Neurospora crassa OR74A: one gene and its partner. The protein of the gene in region 2 interacts with the protein of the main gene of each other region in a pairwise test. Links are inferred from orthologs where the notes say so. Each region holds a gene or a part of one and is shown on either strand. Other genes may lie near its edges.

Evidence for each region.
Region 1: the proteins of NCU02264 (region 2) and NCU06941 interact in binary tests that used the Saccharomyces cerevisiae proteins (3 or more experiments, as listed by UniProt). The link is inferred for Neurospora crassa OR74A from reciprocal best matches to the Saccharomyces cerevisiae genes PAC10 and YKE2.

What each region holds. Positions count from the first base shown.
Region 1 is NC_026507.1:844,015-847,556, forward strand, and holds NCU06941 (prefoldin subunit 6), read right to left. Parts: upstream 2,024-3,542; 5' UTR 1,825-2,023; coding exon 1,761-1,824; intron 1,707-1,760; coding exon 1,636-1,706; intron 1,542-1,635; coding exon 1,417-1,541; intron 1,359-1,416; coding exon 1,238-1,358; 3' UTR 933-1,237; downstream 1-932. Other genes in the region: NCU06940 (hypothetical protein), read left to right, coding at 118-154, 256-932; NCU06942 (vacuolar protein sorting-associated protein VPS4), read left to right, coding at 2,691-3,343, 3,421-3,542. UniProt on the Saccharomyces cerevisiae protein: Binds specifically to cytosolic chaperonin (c-CPN) and transfers target proteins to it. Binds to nascent polypeptide chain and promotes folding in an environment in which there are many competing pathways for nonnative proteins.
Region 2 is NC_026507.1:3,136,009-3,140,097, reverse strand, and holds NCU02264 (prefoldin subunit 3), read right to left. Parts: upstream 2,766-4,089; 5' UTR 2,739-2,765; coding exon 2,548-2,738; intron 2,281-2,547; coding exon 2,046-2,280; coding exon of another isoform or gene 1,914-2,045; exon of another isoform or gene 1,867-1,913; intron 1,784-1,866; coding exon 1,559-1,783; intron 1,477-1,558; coding exon 1,360-1,476; 3' UTR 776-1,359; downstream 1-775. Other genes in the region: period clock protein FRQ, read right to left, coding at 3,936-4,089. UniProt on the Saccharomyces cerevisiae protein: Binds specifically to cytosolic chaperonin (c-CPN) and transfers target proteins to it. Binds to nascent polypeptide chain and promotes folding in an environment in which there are many competing pathways for nonnative proteins.

The DNA of each region.
Region 1 (3,542 bases), about 2.3 Mb from region 2:
ATCCCCGAGTGCTTGTGTGTTGTGGTACTCTACCAATCCATCCATTCCAACCTACACTGTTACTGTTACCATTCTCACATCTCAGTGATACCCTCAATTTTCTTCCTCTTCATCACAATGGCGTCAACAGTCTCCTCCATAAGCCCAATGCAAGGCAAGTCCACCACAACTCCTCCACCCAGCCCTTTCCTCCTCCTCTCACAGCCCTCACGTCCGTCACGCCCAAACTAACACCCCATCTTCCTACATAAACAGCCAGCATCGAAGCAGCAGCCGACAACCTATTATTCGAACAGGGCCGTCTCCTTGTCCCCCCTGAGACCTGCCTCTCCACCCTACTCAAACAGATCCTCGTCCAATTCACCAACACCTACGCCCTCCCGGATGGCAGTCATGCCCTCCTCTCCCAGCCCTCCAGCCTCGACCGTATCCTCAACTCCATCTTCGACACCTCCTGCCTCGCCTTCGTGACCGAAAAGGAATTCCGCATCGAGGCTGGGCTAGACGACCACGACAAGGTGACGCTGTTCGTCCAAGCTGTTGCGGGGATGGCCATGGTTTTTGAGCGGCTCTTGCGTGCTTGTTCTTCTTCTTCTGCAGCTTTCGCAAACTCTGGGTCAGGAGACTTGACGACCAGTCTCCTCTCCAGGGAGCTCCAGCTCTTTGCCGAGAGCGAACAGCGCAGAACGATGCTGGATCGTATCGGCGCGACGTCCTTGCTGAGCCATTGTTATACCAAAGACGAGCTGGTCAGCTTTGTGGTGGCAATGGTGGAGGATCCGGATCGGGCGTCCCAGCAGGGCGGGAGTAGTCTGCTCTCGCTGAATGCGGCGGGCGAGGATTTGTCGAGTGATAGTGTGGCATGGGTTAGTGGCCGAAGTTGCAAGAATATGGGGCTGCCGTGGGGGTTCACAATTATGGCGCTGAACTGAGGTTATACTAGACAGGATGAGAAGCTGCGGTCTGTCGGTGGGTGGATGAGTAAGGGTCAGGGAGAAGGGGGGTGTAAGTTGTGTTTTGGTTATCCCCATTCAGCGATTTTAGAGCAAGGCGTCAAGGGGTATCTTGGGGGAATCTTCAATGAATACATCACGTAATAATTACCGTTTGGTAAAGAAATCGACCTATGACTGCATTCACGAGACAGTTTCCCCGGAGCGCTGTGTGATGAATCGTACCTGCGCCTGATCTCGATTGGGTATAGTGGACATTCTTTCCGTAACTGATTTCATTAGGTCTAAGCCTTGACGGCCTGAGGGGCACCACCAGCCTGGGCGCTCGTCTGGACCTGAATGATCTCTGTCCTCTTCTTCTCAATCTTGCCCTGTGTCTCCTTGATGACTCCCTCCAAGCGAGTGCTGTGACAGTGGGTCAGTTGCGTTGTAACTCAAGATCCCATGCAGCAGTTCAACTTACATCTCCTTGCTGATGAACTCCAGTCTACCCTTGACTGTGTTCTCTGCATCCATCTTGTCCTGCTTGAGCAGCACCGGGCCCACTAGCTTGAAGATCTGCTCGTCATCCTTGAGCTTCTCGAACTCCTACATGGTGCTCAGTTAGTCCCCATTTTTTCCTTGGGCAGAATTTGGCGAAAGGCATTGGGCATGCGAGCGCGATGCTTGGAGAAAAGCTGACATTTTGCACGCTGACGTTTTCCTGCTTCTGAGCCTCGAGCTTCTGTCTGGCGAGAACAGTCTCTTGGAGTTCTGAGGTACAGTTAGTGAATGAACTACGGGGATATCATCATAAGGGGGGCTCACCTTTGTTCAGGTTTTGATACTCATCAGAGAGAGCTTGGAGCTTTAGTTGGAGGGGGCTGGCCATGGCTGCTTCTTTGAGGGTGATGTGAAGTGAGAGACAGGGTTATGCTGAAAAGTTACTAGGCGATGACGTTCGAAAACTGAAAAAGGGTTTGGACACAGTGAGGGAGGGAAGATGATGGATCAAAATGCAGGAACAAGAAACACAGATGAGCTCCAGTATGGGGAATTTGGAGGTTTCTATTCCGGGGAACTGAGCTCGCTGTGCAGTCAATCGTCAGGGGTGAGCTGAGCAGATCCCAAAGTCAGTGCCCAAGCTTTAGCTGTTAGTGCAGGAGTGTATCCTCAAGCAAAGTACTAACAGCCCCAGACCAGCGCTCTCTCCACGCGCAAACAAGTGGCGTCAGTGGCCCCCAGGCCGGGAACCATAACAGGACCCCGCGCTACGCTAGCGCTTCCAGGTCAACGGCCAAGACAAGTCGACCTCGTTGCTTGAAACTAACCAAGATATGGACAAGACCACCAACGATCTTCCCCTCTCCAATTCCACCTCAGACCAGGGCGCGACACCAACTTTTTTGTGCCAGAAGACAGTCTTGCCGTAGTCGTTGCCAGGTGACGCCCGCAAGATACGACCAATTCCCGATTTCTCTTCACCTTATCTCTGCCACTCTCGTTGCCGTAGCCTAGGACAACAGCAGTCGTCATCAACGGGTCTCCTCCCTCGCATATGGCCATCTGTTGACATTGACTTCGAACCTCGGCGCGCGAATATCAACAAACTCTCCTTGTCCGAGCGAAGAAGCAAACAAGTATAACGACTACAAACGCTTACTACGGCGTACCAAGAAGAGCGACCAATCCTACACTCGACTAAACCACGAATTCACGCGACATCACTTTACACGCTTCGAGCCGCCGCCGCACAAAATGTCCAATACCGACTTCCTCGGCCGCGCCATCGAGCAAGTGCGCAAAGCCATCGAAGCCGACAACGCCGCCCAGTACGACAAAGCCTACCAGCTGTACTACCAATCGCTCGAACTCTTCATGCTCGCCCTAAAATGGGAGAAGAACCCGAAATCCAAGGAGATGATCCGGGCCAAGACGGGCGAGTACATGGACCGGGCCGAGAAGCTCAAAGCGCACCTGGCGGACGCGGAAGCGAAGCGGAAGAAGCCCGGGATGGTGGGCGCGAACGGGGGTTCGACGGGCGGGACGGGGAAGGGGAAGGAGGCCGGGGAGGACGGTAATGGCAATGGAGAAGCGTTGGATGAGGATAGCAAGAAGCTGAGAAGTGCGTTGGCGGGCGCGATTCTGCAGGAACGGCCGAACATCAGCTGGGATGATGTGGCTGGTCTAGAGGGTGCCAAGGAGGCCCTCAAGGAGGCGGTCTTGTTGCCAATCAAGTTCCCGCATCTGTTCCAGGGGAAGAGGCAGCCGTGGAAGGGTATTTTGCTGTATGGCCCACCGGGAACAGGAAAGAGTTATTTGGCCAAGGCAGTGGCGACAGAGGCGAAGAGCACGTTCTTCAGCGTGAGCAGCTCGGATTTGGTGAGCAAGTGGATGGGTGAGAGTGAACGGTATGTTTTGTCCTGTTGTCTCTGTCCTTATGCCACTATCGTGACTGAGAAGCTAACGATTTTCCAACAAAAAACAGTCTAGTAAAGCAACTCTTCGCCATGGCCCGAGAAAACAAGCCCTCCATTATCTTCATCGACGAGATCGACGCCCTCTGCGGTCCGCGCGGTGAAGGCGAGTCGGAAGCCTCGCGCAGGATAA
Region 2 (4,089 bases):
TAGGTAGGCTGAAGCGGGGGGGTTGGGGTTGGGTATTATGAAGCTGAGGCAGGAGACAATGAAGAGACGACAATGATGTGTACAAACTTGGAAAGTAAGGTAGCGTTATAGGAGATGGATAACGCAGCTGAGTCGTGGCAAAAAGGGTTGATCCGAAGGGGAAAGGGTACACAGTTGAGTCTACAGAGTCAAGGCAGGCAGGCAGGCAGGAAGGGGAAGGAGGCCGGAGCCCGCCCGTGATGGAGATCGTTTAATTGGGGTTCCGTTGCAGAGGGCCGGGGCCCCTGAGATTCCGCCTGCCCCTGGGGGCCGCCTGCCCGCTTGGGACCCGACGTTGGGGCCCCATCCGCTAAGCTGCTTTCTGCTGTTGGCGCAGGGCACCTCATCCAGTATTCAGGTCGGGCCTGGTCTGCCGTTCGCCTGCCGCCGTACCAAACAGAGACAGAGTCAAAAGACTCGGGACCCCGTCTCCGAAACGAATGCCGTCGTCATGGCGGTCAAGACCACAGATGTGCTTCCTCACTCCCGAAATAGGGGTTTCAGTTTCCAGGGGGGCGGGGGTGGCTCACTTTTGACAAAACACTGACAGCGAAACAGACAGGTCAACGGCCGCCCGAGCGCCCTGCCTACATGCGCATTGGCCCCCCGCCCATCTGACTGTCTCGACTGGATAAGACTTGGGTATGTACACCACTTGATAAACGATGGCGACGATCGATCCGCGACTACACTACAACTCAACCAGACAAACTCGCCCCCTCAGCCACGTGATCTCCTCGGATTGGCTTTTGGTAACGTTGTAAGGCTATCTCGGTGTATGTTTGCGGTAGGTATCGTGACAATCTAAACAATGAGCCATAGCGTCGATCTCTCTTGTAGCCAAGTGATAGACAGTAACTTCCATCACAACCAAGAACCCGGGCGGGAAATATAAAAAGTCATCATCGTGCCTTGATCATGAGGCTATGGGCGTTGGAGGCCGCCAAACTCAAATTCTCTTTAATCTCTCGAGGTCGTAGCCTTGACCTAGGCCAGAGCGAACCTCATCTCGCCAGTCCCACTTCAGTCTCTCCAAAACGACAAACCGCTTGCGTGGCCCTTGTTCCTTTGTCTCGTGAACAAATGGCTACTGAGCGTAATACGACGCAGAATATCTGTGAGGTATCGTTCGCTATCATGTTGCTTTCAAATCAAGTCCAACTTACCAAGCCATCGTGAACCTCGTCTCACATGATCGCGGCCAGCAGCAACCTCGGCCGGCCTCCCTCTATTAGACATTCTTCAACCGTCGTTCGCTCCCATGGCATTTCGTGATGGTGCATTATCTCCTCGCTTTCTGTATTAGACCTAATCTCCTCTTCAACCGTCCGACGCCGTCTCGCTCTTCTTTCCTTTTGTCTTCTCCTCCTCCTCCTTCTCTTTCCTCTTCTGCACGACGTCCCAGTTGTACACTCTGGCAACCGCAACTTCCATCGTCTATGGCGCATCGTTCAGGTCAGTCAAGGTTCCAAGATCGGTAACAGAACTACCATCTTCGCGTTCTCCGCCCAACACGTACCGTAATCTGTTCTCTCAAGAAATCCAGATCCTCCTCGCAGTTCTGCAAGCTCTGCGTCGCCGCCTTGAGCTTCGAGTCAAGCAGCTGCTCGGCCTCCTCAATGGGATACGACAGCATGACGTTGGCGCCGAGCCAGATGTACACCTCGTCCGTGGGTGGGATCTTGGCCTGGGCGTAGAGAGTCTCGTTGAGCTCGAATGTGGTTTCGATCGGGTCTGATTCGTCCTGTAAAACAGACAAAGTAAAAAGGTGATCTTGTCAGCGTGTCTTGTTCGTGTGCGACCGTATCTTCGTCCATCCATCCATACATCAATCCACGTCCTTGTTGTTCATGCTCGTCCTTGACCTTTGGTTCTCAATTACCCTTTCCCCCCGCCCCGGGCGCATTTGGTATTGTGCCCGCTGTATAGCTAGCTGTATAGCCCGTATGTTCGCGTGCCCTGAAGACGGAGGTGTGTGTGCGTGTGTGCGTGTGTGTGTGTCGTACCTTTCTCATCTGCAGGAACCGCACCGTGTCCAGCGTCTTCTGGATATCCGGCATCTTATCCTTCAAGCCCACCACCCGTCGCTGGAGGTTCTGCTCCATGAATTGGTACTTGGCAATCAACTCTTGGAACCGCCTCAGGGTGGGTTCGACATCCGCGCGAGACGTGACATAGTCCTCGACCTTGTCGACGAAGGGCGCCTGGGGGATACCTCGGGGGTTCGCGGGCGTGGCATCACTGTAGGTTTGGCGGAACGCGGGAGCAGCAGGTCAGCTTGTTTTGTGTTTCTATAGGTAGGCTAGGCTAGGCTAGGCTATGCTAGCAATGAGGAATACTTCGAGCCATGTCCGACTGTTGAAGTTAGGGGTGATGACATGAGACTCGTCGTTCAAGAGGGGCAAGACGTTGCTTTGTCCTGTCACCACCAACATAAGCTCTGATGCTTGGCCAAGGTAGGGTAAGGTAAGGTAAGGTAAGTAGGTAGTTCAACTGGGACTGACTTACCGACCCGCAGTTTCTACTTCTTTTCCTTTGGTTGCCATTCTGAGTATGGACCTTACATGTCGGGTTGTAAGGGGGAAAGGAAAAGACCGATCAAGGCGGGGAGCTTCCACTTGCGTGCCTCGGTTGGCGCCGAGCTCGTTGTTTACGTAGGTAGGTAGGGCCGTAGGTAGAGGTAGGTGCGATATGGTCATGGATGGAACCCCAAGGGCTGACTTGCCCGCCCGCACCTCGCTGAGCTCGCTCCCCCGCCTGCAGCCAGGAGTCCGGTCGAATCGATTTCATTAAGGTGGGGCAGGCCCCTGCCCGCGTACAGTACAATTCACCTCTGGAAAGTTTTGTTAGGTAGTGAGAGACCTTGAGTCAAGGGAGTTTCTGGGCGGGTGAATCCAAGCATATGTGCTTCACTGGATCGGGAAGGCTTGGAATCAAAACGATCATGTGAAGCCCTCGTTTTTTGACGTGTCTTTTCCTGGATTGAGATATTTGTACATGTCTTTTTGTGTGCTATGGTACTGCTGGCGATGGCTTCATCAGAAGACCCATGCTAACAAACAACCGACCGTTGGACTGTGATGACGACCCTGATACTGTCTGTGTAGCCCGCCCAGCGTTGGATTAATCAGGGGCTTGCTGATAATGCGCTGAGGGTCTTACGCCCGACCTAGGGATCCACGATTACCGCTCGATCATCAAAACGTTCCGGCAGCGAGGCCATCGTGGAGACAACGAACCGGGACTAGTGATCGATTCACTTTGAAATCCTATATACACTACATGCCCCATCAGACCTACCACCAAGTCCAATCCTTATTTTACGGGTGCACCCGTTGCGACTGATGTCACCGGCCTTCTGCTACTACTGCGAATCGTTGATACGAATTTAAAAAAACAGGTATGTTTTTTTCTGCACACGGAGTCATCTACAAGGAAGCCAAGAAAAAAATATCAGAAATAAAAAGATGAAGAAGAAAGATAAAACCCCCCATAAAAAAATAGCCAGAGAAAAAAACCCAAAAGCCACACCGTTTGAAATCCAAACAACACTAACCCAGACGCCCCAAAAAGTCCCCAACTCAACACCCCCTCCCTCCACCCACCACCCACCACCCATGGCCGCCCCATTCATGGGATCCAGATCCCTCACCCGGCAATCACCTTCGTTGGATATCCATCATGCGTATCGAGTCCCCGAAAAGCGACAATTGCAACTCCCCTGAAAATGGCAAAAGCCAAGAACCCGCGCGCTCGAAACAACCCGCTTGCCCGCCAAAGCCAAAAATTCGAGAACACCGGTACCTGATTTCCTGACACCAGCCGCAATGCGTTCCTTTTGCTCTCGTATGCTCCCCGCGTCTTCTTCTCACATAGGAAAAATACCCACTCAGGTCTCACGAGGATGAGACGTCCTCCATCGAACTACTATAGCCACTCTCTGCCCCACCAGCGGTTGCAACCGAGCTGCCAGTGTGCAGCATGTCCACCTCTTTTCCGGTGACGGCTGCCAATGGGCTGTCGTCCCCATCCACCGCTTCTGCCCGCGGC